3 linked regions of the Sus scrofa genome follow. The protein of the gene in region 2 purifies or fractionates together with the protein of the main gene of each other region. This does not show direct contact. Links are inferred from orthologs where the notes say so. Each region holds a gene or a part of one and is shown on either strand. Other genes may lie near its edges.

Region 1 (7,428 bases), on a different chromosome or scaffold from region 2:
TTCCCCATTTAGCTCGCAGAGGCACTGGCAGCTAAGCCAATAGCCACAAGGAAACTAGAAGGTTTCTTCTACAGCAGCTAAATATTTATACATTTTCTCCTTTTTTGGCTGCACCCAAGGCATGGGGAAATTCCAGGGCCAGGGACTGAATCCCAGTCGCATCTGTGACCTACACCACAGCTGTGGCAGTGCTAATATTCCTTAACCCATTGAGCTGGGCTGGGGATTGAACCAGCAATGCCACGAGACAAGCTGGATTATTAACCCACTTCACCACAATGGAAATTCCAAAATATGTGTAATTATTGACATTCTCTAATCAAATGGGCAGGTCCCTACCTATTCAACTTATGGGAAGACCCACCAATCAATAAGTTCTACCACCATGAGCTTTGCATTTAGTATTTCACTCTCAGATATGGGCCCACAACCCAGAATCACCAGACATCTGAGCAAGAGCCATGTACAAAAGACAAAGACCAATAAAATGAACAGAAGAACAGGGAGCAGGGAGCACAGAAGGCACAGAGGCAATGTAGGGAACAGAAGAAAACTTTTTTTTTTAAACTAATTGCCATCTTCATATAGATAAGTTTATTTGCTCAATGGAACAAAAAAATAGGCTAATTTGAGAAAGACAATTTCAGAAAATAAGAAAGAGATCTTTGAAATAGAAAAATGACAGCTGGAATTTTAATATGCAAGAGGCAAAATTGAGGGAAATATCCGTAACGTAAAACAAAATGATCAAGACATGAAAAAAGGAAGAGAAATGATAAGAAAGCAAGATATCAATCCAACTTATGTCTGTTCCCATTTCTCTAGGCAGAACATTGGGGCAGAACATTGGGGAGATTGGAGGAGGAAGGGGGACTGAAAAGACAGATAAAACACTTGAAATTGAAATGAACCATGTTAAAAAATGGTAAAATTAAAATTAACTTGGCTAATGATTTTGATGAAAGTAAACAGATGTGCTATATAGAACAAATGAATGAATGATATAAGAACTCTAAATTGGGAGGGAAAAAAAACTGGCTTCTCCATGCTCGACCTGCTCTTCTGGAAAGAGGTTTTTGCATACTACATACCCCAAGTTGAGAAAAAGTATGGATGGGGGGTAGTGTGCAGTTTTGGTATCTGTAACTTAAGATACTGTTAAAACTGCCTTCTAAAGTTCCTTCCAATTCTGAATTCTTTAAGTCTAATTTCTCCTTCACAGAACCTGTTCTGACTATTCCAGGTACACCAGATTTCTGAAACCAAAAAATGAATGCAATTTAAATGTGGCTAGGGTTGACTAGCAAGGCCTCGATCTTTAAGTATTTAATAACATATTTTGTGAGGACTAAATACCTACTTTTAGATATATATTAAAATTATCCTTGTGCCCCAGAAGCTAAGTCTGAAGATCATGAGTTTTGGAATCTCAATCCAATTCTGTCGTCAATAAATTATGTGACCTTAAGCAAATATATAAACTGTCAGTCTCAGATTCCATATCTGTGTAAGTAGTACGGAGATAATATTTAAGATCCTTCCTAGCTCTAAACAGTCTCTGATTCTAGGCAAATATATGAATAAAGGAACTGGTTATTAAATAGACCTCTTAACAAAATTGCTTTCTGGTATTTTTTGATGCTAGTAAGGGATAAGGGAAGTTACAAAATATATATAGGATTAAATCAGAACTGCTTACCCTTCCATTTTTACAGATATAATCAAATAGCTCGCCTCCTGAAACATATTCCATCACCATGAAAATATCAGATGGTGTACTGATGACCTGGTACCTGGTGAGAGAAAACATTGTCTACCAGTATTAAACACGTATATTCATTCATTCAATAAATATTTACTGAGTGCCTACAATACACCAGGCATTGCGCCGGGAGCTGGGAAAACTGTAGGGAACAAAATAAATTCTCTACTCTCATGGAGTTCGTGTTCCAGGAGCCAGGAAACAGACACTAAGTAAAAAGGCAATATCTCAGGTGGTGGAACATGCTATGAAGAGGAGAAAAGCAAACTAAAGGGAATCATTCAGACAGGGTGTTCAAGGAAGGCCTCTCTGATGAAGTAACACTTAAGCAGAGCCTTGGAAGTGAGGAAACTAACTCTGCCATTATCTAGGAAGACGGTAAACCCGGCAGAGGAAACAGCAAGTGCAAAGGCCCCCAGGTGGAAACCTGCCTGGCAGGTTTGAGCAATGGTAGGAAGGCTGGAACAGAGTGAGCAAGAAGAGAGAAACAGGATGTGGCCTCCAAGAGGTAACAGAAAACCTTACAAAGACCTTACAGCCATGATGAGGCTCTGGCTTTTATTCCATGGGAGAAAGAAAGCTACTGAAGGTTTTAAGCAAAGTTGTCCTGTGATCTGGCTGATTAAAAGAGTAACTTTAGTTTACAGCAGTAGTGTGAAGAACTGACTGGGGGCAGTAAGGTGGTAGTAGGTGGCTACTGCAGTGGTCCAAGAGAGAGATAAAGGTGGCTCACACTGGGTTGATGACATAAGGAACTGACAAACACTCAGATACTAGATTTATTTTTGAAGGAAGAGATGGAATGGAGGGTAGGAAGTGAGAGAGATAGGAAAGTTAAGGATAGTTCCTGAGTTTCTGCCCTGAGGATATTAACTGAGATGGTGAAATAAAGAGTTCAGTTTTGGGCATGTACCTCGTGCATACCCCAATGGAGGTGTAAAACAGGCTGTGGACATATGAGTCGGGAATTAAGGAACAAGTTTCAAAAGAGGAGATGTATATTTAACGGTCGCCAGCATAAGGATGGTACCTAAAACATGGCACCTCAACAAATGAGAAGAGGTGAGCATGAAACAAATTCTGAGTTAGCCAGTTCAATACAAAAGTCTAAATGGTTTTCATTCACAGCCTGCATAATAAAGCTGAACAGTATACAGTTACCTATAGACCCTACAATTGGCAACTATAAAACAATGATAGTATTGCCACCTTTTGAAATGTTGAATTCCTGAAATCTATTATTTGTTATTTGCTTTATCAGATATAAGCAGTGGGGGGGGCAGAGGGGGAGGGGAGCCCTTTCTACTGCAATGTCTCTAGTGAGGCTGACATGTGGAAATTTGGAGGTCAAGAGTTTTTACTAGCAAATCATTCTTGGCGCTATAGCAATAGGGGTGCTGCAGGTGATCTATCAGAGGGGCATCAGTCCAGAGGACAAGAAAGAATAAGATAGATAACACCCGATAAGCACAAGGGCAAAACATGGACATAGGCTTTAGTGACCGTGAATGGGGTTAGATAAATACATAAATGGGAAGAAGTTTTAAAACCCTCAGGAACAGACTGAAGAAATGTCACTCATCTTTCTCACTTGTCAGATTAAGCAGGTTAACAAAAATAATGAGAAATAACATGTACATTTAATATAATCAGATCTTACAATTTAATTATATGAGGATGCCTGAAAAGCTTGAGGTTCTGAATTTCTCTGCGGATTTTTCCTACTACATCAAGGCTTCGAATCTTCTGTCGATTGAGTATCTTCACAGCAACTTTATGACCAGTCAATTCATGTTTGCCAACTGTAGGGGAAATAATTTTAATAAATTAGTGCCAGGTTTGATTAATAACATACATAGAACTATTCCAAGAGTAATAATCTTAGCAATCTCTGAAAATACTTGAACAACTCCAAGTTCCTTTCAATTCTGCCTGATTTATCCCTGAATGTTTAGATGTTTAAGAGTGAAAGTGGGAAAATAATACTAGTAACAGTGGTCTCTTACAGAAAGAAAAGCTGGAAGGCTAAGGGAGAGAGAAAAAGAGACTTCCTTTTTTGCTCTCTTTCTGTACTTTGAAATCGTCTTAATTTACTTTTCATGTTTTAATCTATCAAACATGCAAATTGAAGTTTTTTCTGTGGTATGCAGTATTAGAGATTTTAACCCAGGTAGACATTGGTGTAACCACCATTACAATCAGATACAGAATAGTTCCATCATTCCAAAAACTCCCTCATATTAAACATACTTCCTCTATCTATAATCACTTGAATCATGAGCACATAGCTTCTATGTTATTAAATAAGAAAAAAAAATTTAAGTGATTATCTTTCAATTTTGAATGCTATAACCAGATAATCAATGGTTACAGTAGAATTTAGACATTTTTTTTTTTATAAAGGCAAAGTCACCAAAAATTTAGCTTCTATCACCCTTTCTCAAGAATCTAGGGGAGAGGCAGTTCCCTGGTGAACTAGTGGTCTATGGGCTAGTGGTCCATGGGCTAGTCCATGCTTTTGCTGCTGTGACCCGGGTTCAATTCCTGGTCTGGGAACTGAGATTGCAAACCACACAGCTGCACACTACAGCCAAACAAACAAGTTAAACAAACAAAAACAAAAGAACCTGGTGGAGAATATATATTCCATCAAAATCAGGAAGGAAATCAAGATGACAGTCAGTAAAGATGGAATCAAATAAATATAGAGGAAAAAGAACTCCCAGTACGGTAATGAAGAAAATCCTAGGTAACAACTATGTAGAAGGCTAGAAGGCAACAAATCCAGACCAATATTATTATTGAGGACCAGGATGGTTATTTCCCAGGAGGTGGGTAGGGAGTGGATAGGTGTGGAATAGATAAAAATTAAATGTTCTATAAGAAAATATATTCATAGGGGAGTTCCTGTCATGGCTCAGCAGAAACGAATCTGACTAGTACTCATGAGGATGCAGGTTTGATCCCTGGCCTCGATCAGTGGGTTCAGGATCCAGCGTTGCCATGAGCTGTGGTGTAGGTCACAAATGCGGCTTGGATCTGGCATTGCTGTGGCTGTGGTGTAGGCAGGCAGCTCCAGCTCCAGTTACACTCCTAGCCTGGGAACCTACATATGCTGTGGGTGTGGCTCTAAAAGGACAAAAAAAAAAAAAGAAAGAAAAGATAGTCATAGTATTGGCTTAGCAAATAGTTTTTATACAGTCACAATTATGAAAACACCAAATACAAATTTTTTTAAAAGTATGACCTAATTACAGTAGAAGAATGAGAGTGTAGAGGAAAAGGTATAAAAGAACTAATATCCTGGACATGGAGGGTATTATGCTTACTGAAGTACATCGTAAGTCGGACAGTCTCCTCAGCAAGTGGTGTTGAGAAAACTGGATAGCCTCATGTAAATCAATGAAGTTCGAACACTCCCTCACACCATACACAAAAATAAACTCAAAATGGCTAAAAGACTTAAATATAAAACAGAACACCATAAAACTCCCTAGAAAATTACATAGGCAAAATATTCTGACATAAATCGCAGCAATATTTTCTTAGATTGGTTTCTCAAGGCAAAAGAAATAAAAGCAAAAATAAACAAATGGGGAGTTCCCGTCGTGGCGCAGTGGTTAACGAATCCGACTAGGAACCATGAGGTTGCGGGTTCGATCCCTGCCCTTGCTCAGTGGGTTAACGATCCGGCGTTGCCATGAGCTGTGGTGTAGGTTGCAGACACAGCTCGGATCCCGCGTTGCTGTGGCTCTGGCGTAGGCCGGTGGCTACAGCTCCGATTCAACCCCTAGCCTGGGAACCTCCATATGCCCTGGGAGCGGCCCAAGAAATAGCAACAATAACAACAACAACAACAAAAAAAAAGACAAAAGACAAAATGGGACCTAATCAAATTTAAAAGCTTTTGCACAAAAGGAAAACCACAAAACAAAAGGATAACCTATGGCCAGGGAGAAGACATTTGCAAATGATGCAACCAACAAGGGGTTAATTTCCAAAGCATATAAACAGCTTTCTCAATATCTAAACAAAAACCCAATCAAAAAATGGGCTGAAGACCTAAATACACTTTTCTCCAAAGAAGACACAGATGGCCAACAGGTACATAAAAAGTGCTCAACATTTCTAATTATTAGAGAAATGCAAATCAAAAGTACAATGAGACATAACCCCATACTGGTCAGAATGGCCACCATCAAACTGTCTACAAATAATAAATGCTGGAGAGGATATGGAGAAAAGGAGACCCTCCTACACTGTTGGTGGGACTGTAAATTGCTGCAGCCACTATGGAGGTTCCTTAGAAAACTAAAAACAGAGTTATCATATGATTTAGCAATTTTACTCCTGGGCATATATATCTGAAAGAGACAAAAACTCTAACTAGATATGTGCACCCTAGTGTTTACTGCAACACTACAACAGCCAAGACATGGAAGTAATCTGCATGTCCATCAACAGAGGAATGGATAAAGAAAACTTGGTACATACACATATACAATGGAGTACTGCTCAGCCATAAAAAAGAATGAAATAATGCCATCTGCAGCAACATGGAGGGAGCTAGAGATTATCATACTAACGGAAGTCAGTCAGAGAGAAAGACAAATATCATATGATATCACTTATATATACAATCTAAAAAAAAATAAAAATGAACATATTTACAAAACAGAAAGGGATTCACAGACACTGAAAACAAATTTATGGTCACCAAAAGAGGAAGGATGGTGAGGGATAAATCAGGAGTATGGGATTGACAAATACACACCACTATATATAAAATAGATAACCTATAATGCAAAAGAATCTGAAAAAAAATATATATATATATGAATAAGCTAAAAGAATACACTGTGCAGCACAGTGTGTGTGTGTGTGTATATAGCCAAACCATTTTGCTGTATATCAGAAAATAACACAGTATTGTAAATCAACTATACTTCAATAAAGTTTTTTAATTTTTAATAAAACAAACTAGTAAATATAATAAAAAAGAAATAGACTCACAGATATAGAGAACAAACTTGTGGTTACCCATGGAGAGACACAGTGGGGAGGGGCAAGATAGAGGTAGGGGAGGTATAAACTACTAAGTATAAAATAAATAAGCTACAAGGACATACTTCATTGCACAGGGAATATAGCCAATATTTCATAATAACTTGAAATGAAGTATAATCCATAGAAATCTTTTTTGGCCGCACCCACAGCATGCGGAAATTCCCAGGCCAGAGATCAAACCCTCACCGCAGTAGTGACCCGAGCCACTGTTATAACAATGCCAGATCCTTAACCTGCTGCACCACAAGAGAACTCTCTAAATAAATTATTTAGAATTTTAGTTTTTCAGGAAAAAAAATATTCTCTTCTAAATAAAACATAATTTGTAAAACCAATGTCAAAAAGCTTTCCTTGGCATGTTTATTAATCACCAACTGAAAATCAATTTCTGCTGTTAAAGCCACTCAACTTGCAATATTTTGTTATGGCAGTCCTAGCAGATTAATACATTTTCTTACTATTTCCAAGTTGAAAACTCAATACCGATATTTTAAACTCCTCATGTTCTGGAGTTCCTGTCATGGCTCAGCAGTAACAAACCTGACTGATATCCATGAGGATGTGGGTTCAATCCCTGGCCTCACTCAGTGGGTTAAGGA
Region 2 (7,428 bases):
GAGGGTCTGGGGCATCATTGTCGAATGAGGGTAGAGTTTCACTTTGCAAATTGGAGATGCCCCCCCTCGGGGGGGGGGGGTTGGTTATGTAAATGTGCTTCACGCCCCTGAAGTGTCCCTGTGGAGTGGTTACAGTGGCAAAGCTTGGGTGATGTGTATTTCACCACAGTTAAAAAAGGGAGAAGGGGCGATTGGGGCGCGGGCCAGTTCTTGCAGTGGAGGGCCACCCGCTGGGGGCTCTGCCTGGGGCGTGGGTGTCCCCCGGGCAAGACCCAGGAGGCAGGGGAGCTCGGAGGGTGACACTTGACTTTGTGTTAGAGCTTGTAGGGAACTACTGCCCCGAGGCCATTTCTCTGGGCCACAGTGTCATCAGGCTTCGCTGACCACTGTCCCCGTCGCCAGCCCCCCACGGCCCCGTCTCCTTCCTGGGGCCACACCCGTCTTGGCTGGGTTCCTGTCGTGAGATGAGGTTGCGCCCATCGCCCCCAGAGCGTGCCGTGCGTTTGATCCTCTCTCTTGCTCCCCACGACTTCCCTCGCTCGCTCTCCCTACCCACCTGGGGTCCCTGCGTGGCAGGAGGTGGCGGCTTTGCATCCTGGAAGGGGAGGTGGGGTGGTCAGGCTCTCGGAGGGGGGCCAGCACGTCCCCACCCCCTCGTTTTACTTGGTGGCCCTCCGCGCCCCTCCCTGTGAGTAATTTTCCAGGCGGACTCAGGAAGGGGTTTAGAGCCACATGCGGCCCCACATGAGGCCAGGTGGGCACCTGAGGGCCAAGGTTATGGACCCCATGCTCTGTTTCCGTCCTAGGACCTGAGTTCCTTTGCCATGCCGCTCCTGGATGGAGACCTGGAGAGTTCAGAAAAGCATTCTTCTCGCAAGGTAAGGCCACCGTCCTCACGGCTTGTCACAGCTCACCTGAGATGCTACTGAGGCAGCACTCCCTCGGTGCAACCCCCAAACCCATTCCCACCTGTATGTCCACCTGTGCTCCCCCTGATGCTCTCATCTGTACATCCACTGCTCCCACCTGTGCTCTTACCTATGCTCCCCTCTGCTGCTGCTGTGCTCTCACCTGTGCTCCCACCTGTATATCCACTGCTCCCACCTGTGCCCTCACCTGTGCTCCCACCTACATGTCTATGCACCTGTGTTCCCATCTGTACATCCACTGCTGCCACCTGTGCTCCCACCTCTACATCTGCTGCTCCCACCTGTGCTCTCACCTGCATGTCCACATGTGCTCCCACCTTCTCCCCACGGGCCCCCTTTCCTTCTGCCCCGTTCTGCCCCCGCCCTCTCCACCCTCAGCCCATCCAATGTCCTTCTCTCCCTTTTGTCTTTTCCACTGTCCTGTCCTCTCTTTAGCCCACAGTCTTTCCTCTCACGATGGTCAGTTTTTTCTCTGCAAGGAAGCCAACAGGTTGGGGTGACCAGGTTGGGGCGTGGAGGGCTGGCCAGATAGTATGAGCACCTACTGTGTGCCAGGCGCTTCCCCGCTAGTCCATTCTATCTCTTCGAGGCCCTGCAAGTTAGCCTAGTGTCCCCATCGCATAGATGAGGACACTGATGCTGAAGTCCCGCCCCACTGCCAGAAACCATGTGCGGATTGAAACCACGCTGGGAGTTTGAAGTCCCTGCTGTGGGGTCACCTCCATCCCGGGCCTGCTGTTCCCCCGCCCCACCCCACGTCCACACGCACACGCCACCCACTGCTTCAGAAGCTTCTCTGTGGTAATTATTCTTAGGATTTGCAAACGCTTTAGAAAGGTTGAATCCCACGGGTGGGTGGATAGTGACTGAACCCAATGCTCCAGAGACAGAATCTAAATGCTTTTTGTATCGAAGCCTTGCAAAAACTTGACCTTCTGCCTAAGGAGGAGAGCTGGAGTTACAGGGCTCTGGTAGAGCTCGGCCAGCCTGTCTCAGAAGCCCCCTGGGCGAGGGGATTTGCATGGAGCCAGCTTCTGTGCCTCCACACCCCTGCCACGGGCACCCCCACCCCTGCAGTGGCCACACTGGGTCCAGGGTCCCTGATGCGGCTCTCCTGCCAGGCATCACTTCTCGGCTCATGGCGCCCTCTAGTGGTGGGAAAGCTCACAGGGTCCTGGGCCCCGCAGGCGCCCACGTGGACACACAGGGGCGCCTCTGGATCTGTGCTTTCGCCACCTGCTCAGCGCCCCCGAGGTCCCAGCCGTGTGGAGCCCAGGCCCTCCTGCCAGGCCTCGTCCTTGCCCCAGAGCCCAGTGGACAAGTTGCTTTTCTTTCCTGCCACAGAGCTGGGAGGCCCTGAGGCCCTTGGGCTCCTGAGCTGCAGGGTTACCGATAAGACGACAGCAGTTTAACATACAGAGTGTGGGTCCTGCCTGTGCATCGGATCTGGGCCGCTGCCCCTTCAGACGGCCCTGAGCAGCGGGCACTCAGACGGGAGTATCACCTCCCACTCCCACCAGCAGGACACATTCCAGATTCCTTGAGCCCCCGAGCTGTGGGCCTTGGCTTACATACAGAGTCCAGTAATTTTTCAGACCACAGTCACAATTTCACGTCATCACCGGAGTGAGCCTCAGAGGTGTTCGGCCTCAACTTTCTCCCCGACCTCTGCCAGCAGCCCCAGTCCTTCCAAAGCCAGAGCAGCGGGGGATGAAAACCTCATCCCTTCCCCACCAGGGCACCTGAGGATGGAGCCCCAGGCTGCCTGCCTTTCAGATCATAGAGACTTGTGTGTGTGTGTGTGTGTGTTTCCAGCCACATCTGCAGCATATAGAAGTTCCCAGGCCAGGAGTTGAATTGGAGCTGCAGCTGCCGGCCTCCGTGTCAGCCACAGCAACGCGGGATCCGAGCTGCGACTTTGACCTACACCACAGCTCATGGCAACACTGGATCCTTAAGCCACTGGGTGGGGCCAGGGATCGAACCCACGTCCTTGTGGATACTAGTCGCGTTCATTACCGCTGAGCCGCGATGGGAACTCCAGATTGTAGAGACTTATGTTCCCCCCCTTTGAAGGGGGCGGGAGAATGTGATTCCAGTGCAGTCAGACCTCGAGAGGGACAAACACGCAGTCCCGAGACGTGAAAGCCTCGAGCCTGAGCCGCACAGAGGATAAGGGGGGGAGTTGCAGGGTGTCGTGGACCAGCAGCTCGGCGGTGGGGGACAGCGGGGGGCAGGCAGGCTAGTGACCTCCCCTGTCTGTCTGTCTCCTGCAGGTGGACAGCCCCTTCAGCTCGGGCAGCCCCTCCAAGGGCTTCTTCTCCAGAGGCCCCCAGCCCCGGCCCTCCAGCCCCGTGTCTGCTCCCGTGAGGCCCAAGACCAGCCCCGGCTCCCCCAAAACCGTGTTCCCGTTCTCCTACCAGGAGTCCCCGCCGCGCTCCCCGCGCCGCATGAGCTTCAGCGGGATCTTCCGCTCCTCGTCCAAAGAATCCTCCCCCAGCTCCAACCCGTCCACCTCGCCCGGGGGCATCAAGCTCTTCTCCCGCTCCAGAAAAAGTAAGACATTGATGCTATTGTTTCAGGTGGGTGCAGGGCTTCCGGGGACCTTCTCAGCGCCACTCGGCTGCAGTGCCACCTGCGGGGGCACCCAGGCTGATCGGGTGACAGTCCGTGATGGGGGGAGGGCTTTGCGCCTGTGTCTGTCCCCCAAGAACAGACGGATCTCCAGAATATCACTTGCCACCGGGCGCTTTCTTCCTGCACGAATCCACCCGGTCTGGTGGGTATGGCGCGGCTGGTGGGGTTGGCATCCCGATACTCACCGGATGGCGTGTGAGGACAGCCACGCGGAGCGCCGGCCTCCAGCCTCCTCTGGAAAACAGTAGCGGGGTGCAGCTGAGGTTGAGTCCGGGGCCTGGTAGGGCTTGGGGCCTGGTGTTTGGGGGACTTGAGTGTACCCATGTCTGGCAGATTCTGGCTTTCCGTTTGAGGCCAGGGTAGCTGGGGTTGATTGGTTAGAGAAATGTGTGTTTAAGAGAGAGTGCTTTAGGCTCACGAGGATTTGTGATCCAAGGCTAAAACTATTCCCAGTCCAGCACTGTCAGTGGTGATTGGAAGCAGGCGAGGCCACCGGAAGGCGGGCGGAGTGGCTTTTCTCCTTTGCCGTGTCTTAGGGAAGCTCCCTCTTCCTGTGACTCTTGCTGGTGACACAGAAAGTTCCTATCCAGGAAGACAGCGATTTGGAAGACAGACTTGCTCTTAGGTGTCAGGGCTGGAGCGGGCCTCCTTCCTCGCCAGGCTGCGTTTGCAGCAAGACCTGTAGGCTGGAGCCGTCCTGAGCTTCAAGGCCAGCCCCGAGCTCCATTCCAGCCGCCGTGACTTGTCAGGAAAGGGTGGGCAACTGTTTTATTTTCTTAGTGCTTTGGGGTGTTGATCGTAGCACCCCTCAAGTCATCCCTGCCCCCACGACCAAACCTCCGCCCAAGCACCTAAAGGTCACATGACACGGTAGACAGGACAGGTGGCGCGCTGTGGGGAAGCATAAATATGAAGCCAGCTGGGGAGAAACAGTCTAGCACCCATGTCCGCACGCCCTGAGTTGCCTTGACCAGGATCGAAATTCTCAAACATTCCATCAAGCACCACCTCCAGGAGGAGGGGACGGCAGGCCAGACCTCCAGCAGGTGTCCTGGTTCTCCAGAGGTGGCGTCGTGCCTGCGTTGGTTACAATGGAGCTAGGTTGTGTTAATTCCTGGGGCAGCTATCGCAAAGTCCCCCAACTGGGTGGCTTAAACAACAGACGGTTCCAGCGGCCAGAAACCCAAATCAGGAAGTCAGCAGGGGAGTTCCTGCTGTGGCGCAGTGGGGGTTAAAAATCCAACTGCAATGGCTCAGGTCTCTGTGGAGGTGTAGGTTTGATCCCCTGCCTGGTGCAATGGGTTAAAGGATCCGGCGTTGCTGCAGCTGCAGCTTGGATTCAATCCGTGGCTTGGAAACATCCATATGCTGTAAATTCAGCCATAAGATTTTTTTAAAAAAGAAACAAAGAGGCCAGGGCCCCTCTGAAGGGTCTGGGCAGGAGCTGTTCCATGTCTTTGTCTCAGCTTCTGGTGTTGCCAGCAGTCCCTGGCATCCTTGGCTCCTGTCTGTGCTCCATCTGCGGGGTGGCCTTCTCTCCCCGTGAGTCCGTGTCTGTGTGCTTCTTGTCCTTTCCTTCTAAGGACAATGGCCACATTGGGTCAAGGCCCGCCCTGCTCCAGGACCTCCTCTTAATTCATTATTCCCACAATGACTCCGTTTCCAAATAAGGTCACAGTCTGGAAGGACGTGAATCTGGGGGGGGACATGACCCCACCCAGGACACAGGTTATGTAGGAGAAGCCAGAACCTGCGCTCGTGTTCTGGGGGAGGGGAAGCCTTGCGGGTGCTGGGGGGTCATGCTGTTAAGACTGGGCATTTCCGAAGGTGGAAAGGACCAGCCAAGGGATGGTGGGATGGTGGGATGCTGGGGCCTGGCAGGTGGGATGCTGCAGGTGCGATGCTGGGGTCTGGCAGGCAGGACGTTCAGCTCCCTGGAAGCAGGAGTCGGTGCTGCCCTTTTCCGTTCAGTGTCATCCAGGGCCATTCAGCGTGCTTGGCCAGAGAGCACCCAGCTGCAAAAGTGCGTCTCTTAAGAGGCTGTGTGGGAAGTGTGGCTTGTTGGGGCTCTTCTCCAGCGCCTGGCTGTAGCCAGGGTGCAGGTGGGCTGTGGAGTGGTGCGGGCTGCTCGGAAAAACACGCACTGATGAGGTTTGGTGGGTGCTTGGCTTCTCCAGAGAAGCTCTCTGGGAGGGGGTGTTCCGACCAGGACAGGTCCAGACCCAGGACCGCGGCCTGTGCTGTTGGCCTTGAACCGTCCTGGTCCAGGCAGAGCCCTGCTTCATGGGGAGGAACTTCAGTCGTGCCTGGTGTGGGGCTGGCGTCGGGGGGCGTACCGTCTATCTGCTCTTCCTCCTGCCCGATTCTACTCCTGAGTCAAGGTGCCTGGACTATAGACCACTCCCACTGCCCCAGAAGTGGTTTCACAAAATTGAGCCGGAAGGTAACGCCATCAGCCTTATGGAGGGTCTTGGTAAGAAGCATCGCAGGCAGAGTTCCCGTTGTGGCACAGAGGAAACGAATCCCACTAGGAACCATGAGGTTGCGGGTTCGATCCCTGGGCTTACCCATTAGGTTAAGGATCTGGCGTTGCCGTGAGCTGTGGTGTGAGTCACAGATGCAGCTTGGATCCTGCATTGCTGTGGCTGTGGTGTAGGCTGGCAGCTACAGCTCCTCCAATTTGACCCCTAGCCTGGGAACCTCCATATGCCGGGGGTACAGCCCTAAAAAGCAAAAAAAAAAAAAAAAAAAAAAAGAAGCCTCGCAGGAAACCCGCAGTCTCCACTTGAAGGATGTCCTGAGGACACGGATCCTTACACGAGACCCCTGGGAGAAACTTCCTGTCTCGGTACCAAGAATCGCTGTGCTTCTGAGCAGCTGGACTGCTCTGCCTGTAACGGTCATCAGTCGTGTTCCCTGTCTGCCTTGCCTGCTGGAAATCTGAGACCCACACTTGCACAGGAGGCCTTAAGGGGTGCATTTCTAGCCTGACTTCTGACTCCATCCTTTGGTCCCCCTCCCCACTTTTTTTTTCTGTCTTTTTAGGGCTGCTCCTGTGGCATATGGAGGTTCCCAGGCTAGGGGTTGAATTGGAGCTGTAGCCACTGGCCTACACCACAGCCACAGCAATACCAGAACAGAGCCACATCTGTGACCTACACCACAGCTCACGGCAATAGCACATCCTTAACCCACTGAGCAAGGCCAGGGATTGAACCCGCGTCCTCATGGATACTAGTTGGGTTCGTTTCCACTGTGCCACGAGGGGAACTCCCCCACTTAAAAAAAAAAAAAAAAAAAAAGCAAGGGAGTTTAGTGGCAGGATTTGGGTGCATTTGTAGCATTCAAAGAAGAACTGAATGCTCAGGCCTCAGAAAGGGAAGGACCCAGGCTGGTTCTGGGGGTCTCGGCAGCAGGAAGTCATGGATCTTTCTGTGAGATCCAGAGAATGCCTAGTCTTTGGGTCTCAACCCTTGCCATCTCACACTTCTCGTTGCAGGATAGCTGATAAGCCCGTTTAGGGTCCCTGAGCCAATCAGTTACTGGGGGGCTGGGAGGCGGGGTCTGGCAGCGAGAGCAGAGTAACCAAGAACCAGAAGTGGGCAGAAGTCCTTGGAGAGAGGAGGCCCAGTCCGGAGGCCCCCGTCACACTTACCTGTCCGCTGCCCTGCACGTGTGTGCACACACGGCCTCCCACTTTTGCAAAGACACCTCATCAAACCCCATCCCTATGCCACCTTATGCACAGTGGTAAGTGTGCCTGAGGCTTGCCCGGGGGAGGCCCCCCAGCATCGGGTCCAGGCATCACAAATGAGGCTGGCGGCGCTGTGCACGGAGTCCTCCATCCCCACGAAACGAAATG
Region 3 (6,656 bases), on a different chromosome or scaffold from region 2:
TAATAATAGCAGCTCTCCTCCAGAATCTTAACAGGAGAAATTGTTCCTATCCCAGGTCTACCACATACATACCACATCCATACCACGTCCACAACTAACCAGTTTACAAGACTAAAACGCGAGAACTTAGCAGCTGATTCTCTTCCTCTCTCTGCCCACGAGCAGCAAAGAACCTCCTAGGAAAATGCTCTAGCCCCCTTATGGTGGGCTGAGCCTCCTATAATCTTCTCTCTAAAAACCAATGTACTAAACCATCTATATTCACAAAATAACTGTGCTTTAAAAACGTAAGCACACAAGAACCAAACTATGAGCCTTGGTTCTCCTAAAATTCAAGAGATAACTATCAAAATATAGATATTTATAAATACTGGCACAAATGAGAAAATAGTAAATAATTTTTTAACTCTTAAAAAACATAATCATCCATATAAAGAAATTTTGATATAAGTTTCTAATATCTGATTCATTACAGAAGCTAAAATGCCACTGGATTCCTTCTTGCTATTTCTCTGCCTTCAAAATTGTTAGGGATTTTATCACTGAGAATAAGGATTCAGAGTAATTCCTTATTTTGAAGGTCATCTCATTCATAGGCAAATATTATGAAGTGGCCCTGTTTTTCCCAAAAGGTATTTACACACTTGTTGAGGCCAAAATTATGCCGTATCTATATGCACATCAAAACTAACGCAGCAGAACTGCTTATCCCTATAAAAATAATCACAAAAAAGTATCCTTTGATGCCACTAGATGGCAATCTTTCAAAGGTTTAGACTTAAAACATATTAACTACAACTCCACCCTCTTTCCCAAACTGGCAAACAAGGATTCCTTGTACTTTGCTATTAAGAAGTCGGACATAAAAGTTGTATCATTTTTTAAAAGTTCTTCAAAAAATATGATGTGACACAATGCAAACCCCTGACTCAATACTCATTTAAAAACAGCCATATTTGTTTTACAGGAGAAACTTGGTCTAACATTCTCATTTGCTTCTTGGTAGAAAACACATTATTTTTGGCAAAGAGAAACCAGTCAAGGCAATGTCACTTTTTGTTTTCAAGAGCTTAATCTTTTCTAGGGTGAGTCAGGTGAATGATATTGTTAATTACAGCATTTTAAACAAAAAAAAAAAGAATAAATACAATTAGATAAATTATACATGATTTTAAAATTAAATATTTTTATTAAAACAAAATATAATCAATGGGCTGTTACCTACCCTGCTGTATGTAGGGTTATTTTTTAAAGCCTTAAAAAACCAAAAACCCTGCACAAAGCAAAAGCAAAAGTTTGGTTTTCCTTTAAAAGCACTGATGTGCGAATACATATATGTATATGTGTAAACAACACATATATTTATTCAAGAGAAAATTCTTTGAATGTTTAAGGTTTCGCTGCCCTAACAAGTTCAACAGTGCAGGTCACAGCCTACCGAGCTTTGGAAATACACAAAAGCCCTTAGGGCCAGAACAGTGTTTTCAAACTGGATGGCTAGCAACCAAGATACAGAACAAAGAAAGAGAACCAGAAAAGATTTTAAAGCTAAGTCAGTCGGCCACTAAAGATGAAACATTAAACACAAAGGCAACCAGGAAGGTGAGGGACCACAACAACCAAATTCAGATGAAAAACCAGCATCACGGGATTCAGCGGGGCACACACACTCCTTACACACAGTTAAAGATCAAAGGTAAGAGTTCTCTTTACAGGGACTACCGACATTTTGCTTTGTTTCATTTAACTGTCAAATCATGCTTGGTGAAGTATAAAAACAAATAGAGCTAAAAAATATTTGAGAAAGATAGATTTTGAAGGCATGTCGTAAAATAAGTTTATGAAAAAGACAAAAGTTGCTGCAATTCCAGATGTTCCAGTACTGAGAAGAACTTTAAAGGCAAATCTTTAGTACATTATTCAGGGACATCTCAAGATAAAACCTCTAGTTACAGCTGTTTTTAAGAACTTAGAAATCATGGTTACCTGTTTCGGGACCACAGCCCTTCTGCTGAACACTGGGCAACATTTGCGAAAACTTCTACAAGAACTTGGTTTTTGAAATTTTGGAGGCTGACATTTAAGATTTCAACATTTAAATACTACCTTACCAATATTGCGGTTTTTTTTTTTTTTTTAAACTTCTTGGGCATAAACACAGCGTAAAGCCTGCCGAAATTTAGGAAGCAAACTGGATTCACCTACACTACACAGTAAAGCAAGAAGGTGATGCCAAGCGACTCTTCGTTGATGGTTCACCAGTAACGATGTCTTAATCATCTGCAGTGAATCCACGGTTTTAGATGAACAACAATCTTCGTCGATGTTCACCTAGTAAAGACACCGCCTATGTGATTTTTATCGTAGGCAAAACAGAATTACAGATGTCTACAGTAAATAAAACGTCAGATTTGTTTTCAGTCATTTCAAAGGTATTGAGTGTCCTCTGGAGATAGTTACGTCTCTCAACCACTACTGCAGAGTATGTGATTTCAATAGGTAAAACAATAATTTAAAGAATATATCTCATTTTCACAGTGCAATAACAGAAGATAGAAACTAGGGAAAGATTATCAACGGGCTAAAGTAGTGATCAGACTGGCACACATTTCGAAAAAATCCATGGTGTGACTGCCCAGGCGAGGTGGAACTGAAGGCAGCATGCTTCCGGTCAAGGAGCCAGAGAGAGAGCCAGAGAGTGAGTGGCTCTCCGCAGTGACAGAATCCAAGCTTGACCGCGGTCTGTGCAAGCCAGCAGCAGAGCAGGACCGCTGAGGTGTTGAGGAACCAGACCTCTGCTCCAGCACCTCATCTGAAATGGACCAAAGAAGAGCAATTTACATGAAAGGTATACTTGTCCAAGCTCTTCCTCTGAAGACACTGTATTCAGAATATTAAGTAAACACATCTGAGCAAGGACAACCTAACAAGCAATGTCATGTTTCAGTGTTTTAGGAACAGCTCCTCCCTCCCTCAATCGTAACAGACATCACTAATCAATCACAACACTTCTATACAGTCAAAACATGACTTTTTTTAGGGCTGCACCTGCAGCATATGGAGGTTCCCAGGCTAGAGGTCAAATCAGAACTGCAGCTGCCTGCCTACACCACAGCCACAGCAACGCCAGATCGCCTCGTCTGCAAGCTACACCACAGCTCATGGCAACGCCAGATCCTTAACCCACTGAGCGAGGCCAGGGATGGAACCCGCATCCTCGTGGATGTTAGTCGGGTTCATTAACCACTGAGCCACGATGGGAACTCCAAAATATTACTTCTAAAACCTCTTTAATATAGTATTTGACAGTAACCTTGAAATGAAACCAATATCCCTTCCATCTGAAGAAAGCATGCCTTTGGAGGATTATTTTCTTGCAGCATTTCACCAAAAAAAAAAAAAAAAAAAAAATCACTAGGATAAAAACAAAAGTTACCATTGCAGAGTGGTTCTGATCCTTCAGAGCACTGTAACTGCCCACAGCAACGGGCAAGGGAAATTTTTGAAAATGCAGATTCCCAGTTTCCCAGAACCCATCTCTAGAGATTGATTTGCTAGGTCTGAGATAGTTCCTAAGAATCTGCAGTTTAAGACGACCTCTGGGTGCTTTCAATGAAGATAATCTGGGGACCATATAAACACAGCTAGAGTTGAGGACAGTTCAAGGATAACATTTATTTTATTAATTGATTGATTTTTGTCTTCTTAGGGCCACAACATATGGAGGTTCCCAGGCTAGGGGTTGAATTGGAGATGCAGCTGCCGGCTGCAAGATCTGTGCTGTATCTGTGACCTACAGCACAGCTCATGGCAACGATGGATCCTTAACCCACACAGCGAGGCCAGGGATCAAACCCTCATCCTCATGGATACTAGTCAGATTTGTTTTTGCTGAGCCACGACGGGAACTCCAAGAATAAAGTTCCAAATCTGAAGAACTCAGTTTTCCTCTGGTTCCATCCAGCAGTGGACACTTGGTTCATTCTGCTTGTATCCCACTTGGACCTCTGAGTGGAATACACACACTGACCAGCCGAGTCTGACTCTTGGCACACACTAGGACATGACCACCTCCCTGACTCTTTCGCCGGTCAGGGGCACCAAACCATGGGCATCAAAACCCAACCCAAATCCTGGGGGAGGCCATACAGGATACCTTGGCCACCCAAGATGAAAGAAACAGATGAAGTTTAGATATTATAATGCTTAATGGTAAAATATGACTGGGGAAATGTGACAAGAACCTAACGTCAGCTTACTTTAGGTAAAATTGCTTCCTTAATTGTTCCTTCCTTTTCTCTACAGCCAACACTTCAAATGACTTTTTAATACCAAGGAAGCACGTCTTTTGGAGAGGTGATGGATTAGAGATTTTCCACATGTCTTCGATCCTTTTCGCTTCACTTACACTTTTAGTTAAATCTAGGTTACTTAAAAACCAGTACAGAAGACCTACCCACCATGTCTTTGAGATGGTTTTAACATCTTGTCAACTAGTGCCAAGTTTTATCTTCTCAGAGTTCATGCCTGCGTGGCTTCCTTACCATCAATGCTTTTAAAGTCCAAAAGATAGCTTCTATTGTCAACCAGGTACAACTGTAAGCTCATTTTCACATAATTGCCAGTCACTGGATTTTTTCTTCTTACACGTAGATGGTATGCATTCACTACCTAAAACGGAAATTTTTCTTTAAGGGAAAACATTAAAAATAAACTACAAAATACCTTATTCTTATTGAAAAGAATAATATTAAAACAAGTAACTGACAGAGGTAGAGCAGAGATGGAATTCCTGAATTATCTTTTTTCTTTTACATTACACAGTAGTTTAGTATTTAATCCCTACCAACAGTACTATATACAGCAATTAAAATTTAAAGGGAATGCAGAGATTATATGGAGTCCAGCATTCTTTCCAGATGTGCCTCTACTCTAAATAATCTTCGTTGCCCATTCTCAACTTGGATACCTTTACTAGGACTATAAGCTAGACAGAGACCTAACATGTTAATGGTTTAAACCTGGCACAGTAACAGGTACTGTCACAAAATTGAAGTATCATAGTAATCTTGCAAGGAAGATATTTTCTTTTGAAGATAATAAAACAGCAACTCAGATAAAGATTCTGCTTTTTCAAAACATCAAATTATTTACAAAATGTTTTCAGTAAGGAATTTTAAGACATTAACATCTATTTTTAAACTAACTAAATAAAACCATTTCAGAAAAGGGAGATCTGCTTTTTAAATGGTTTTAAGGAAATATGATTTTGTTTATTCATTCCATGTACAAATAACGAAATAAAAATATGTCAAGTGAATATGTACATGGTATGTTTGAACATTTTTCTTCTGTTAAAAATACATTCCAGTCCTCAAGAAAGGAACGAAAATAAAAGATACCTGAAAAGGAAAAACTGCCCCCCATATACTCAAATAGAATTGAAATGCATTTGAGCACTAATAAAAAAGTAAAATGTGGACTGAAAAAAAAATATATCACAACTAAGGACTAAAAGCACTAGCCAAATAAGACAGGCTTTCTCAACTTACAGAAAAGTATTTGTCAACTCAATAAATATATCCTGATGGTATAATTTGTACGAACCACTTGTTGCTACAGCTATTAACAAAAAGAAAAAAAGAGAAAGTAAAAACATACTATCTTTGAAGACACATGACTTTTTTTCTGATGCATGCTGAAACAGGTAAGCTATTTTCTCAAGAAATTTCAAGTTTATTAAAACTCTTTCTTGGCCAAGAATGCTATTCTATAATTCAAAAATATATAGGTCCCCAACATCAACGGTTCTTAATCTTTACAAAGATTTATTTTGTTTTGAGTGTACATGGTACATTACTAGAAAGAATGGGGTTTATTAGCCAGAAGCATCTAGACCACTAAATTCATATATAAATCAAAACCAACTTTTTTATTGACCACAGTACTCAACTCAGCAGCTCACTATATATCAAAGGGCTTCTACTAATGATCTTCATATACTCCAATCTCCTACCTTCCATTCAAAATCCAGCTGCTTCATAGCTCGGTAAACTTCAGCCATAATGTCATATGGTTTGCTTTGACTTCGAATCCCAAGATGCCACTTGGCTTTTTTCACAGCTAAAGATTTGGGCTTGGTTGTATTCAGTGCATCCAATGGACATCTTGCTTTAGGGCTGTCTGCTATAAGAGGTGGCATCCTTTCTGGATGAGGTTTCAGGCCTGGGGGAATATGCATGGCACTATCATCCATAAAAGAACCAGTTGGGGGACTAGAGGCGAGGTAGAACTCACTGGCTTGGTTCATTATTCTCCGATTGTCAATGACAAGATGATAAGCCACTGCAAGCTGGTCTTGAGGGTCACCACTATACAAACTGTTCATTACTTCTGATTCTGTACACTCAAATTTTTCACACACTTCTTTCACAGCCTCATCATCAATGACGTTAGCATCATAGGAGGGGTCTTCAGGAAATAAGTAACTGGGCAAATCTTGTTTAAACCATTCATGCTCTCTAGGAAAAATACCACAACACACTATTGTAAGAACATGCTCTGGCAAGTCCCAAATAATTTATGTACAATGTAACAGAATCAGAAAGATGTGATCTCTAGGCACTCACTAGCTATGTGACCCTGGGTAAGTAAGT

Evidence for each region.
Region 1: the proteins of PRKAG2 (region 2) and PRKAA1 purify together in Homo sapiens (affinity purification with mass spectrometry; 8 studies listed by BioGRID and IntAct, counting the BioPlex papers as one, with this or other methods). This does not show direct contact. The link is inferred for Sus scrofa from reciprocal best matches to the Homo sapiens genes PRKAG2 and PRKAA1.
Region 3: the proteins of PRKAG2 (region 2) and PRKAA2 purify together in Homo sapiens (affinity purification with mass spectrometry; 5 studies listed by BioGRID and IntAct, counting the BioPlex papers as one, with this or other methods). This does not show direct contact. The link is inferred for Sus scrofa from reciprocal best matches to the Homo sapiens genes PRKAG2 and PRKAA2.

The regions. Positions count from the first base shown.
Region 1 is NC_010458.4:25,761,344-25,768,771, forward strand, and holds part of PRKAA1 (5'-AMP-activated protein kinase catalytic subunit alpha-1), read right to left. Parts: intron 3,565-7,428; coding exon 3,423-3,564; intron 1,794-3,422; coding exon 1,700-1,793; intron 1-1,699. UniProt on the Homo sapiens protein: Catalytic subunit of AMP-activated protein kinase (AMPK), an energy sensor protein kinase that plays a key role in regulating cellular energy metabolism.
Region 2 is NC_010460.4:5,556,489-5,563,916, forward strand, and holds part of PRKAG2 (5'-AMP-activated protein kinase subunit gamma-2), read left to right. Parts: intron 1-806; coding exon 807-878; intron 879-3,205; coding exon 3,206-3,485; coding exon of another isoform or gene 3,486-3,511; intron 3,512-7,428. UniProt on the Homo sapiens protein: AMP/ATP-binding subunit of AMP-activated protein kinase (AMPK), an energy sensor protein kinase that plays a key role in regulating cellular energy metabolism.
Region 3 is NC_010448.4:155,688,152-155,694,807, forward strand, and holds the end of PRKAA2 (5'-AMP-activated protein kinase catalytic subunit alpha-2), read right to left. Parts: intron 6,522-6,656; coding exon 6,017-6,521; intron 4,672-6,016; coding exon 4,545-4,671; exon of another isoform or gene 4,457-4,544; intron 2,813-4,456; coding exon 2,574-2,812; 3' UTR 2,139-2,573; downstream 1-2,138. UniProt on the Homo sapiens protein: Catalytic subunit of AMP-activated protein kinase (AMPK), an energy sensor protein kinase that plays a key role in regulating cellular energy metabolism.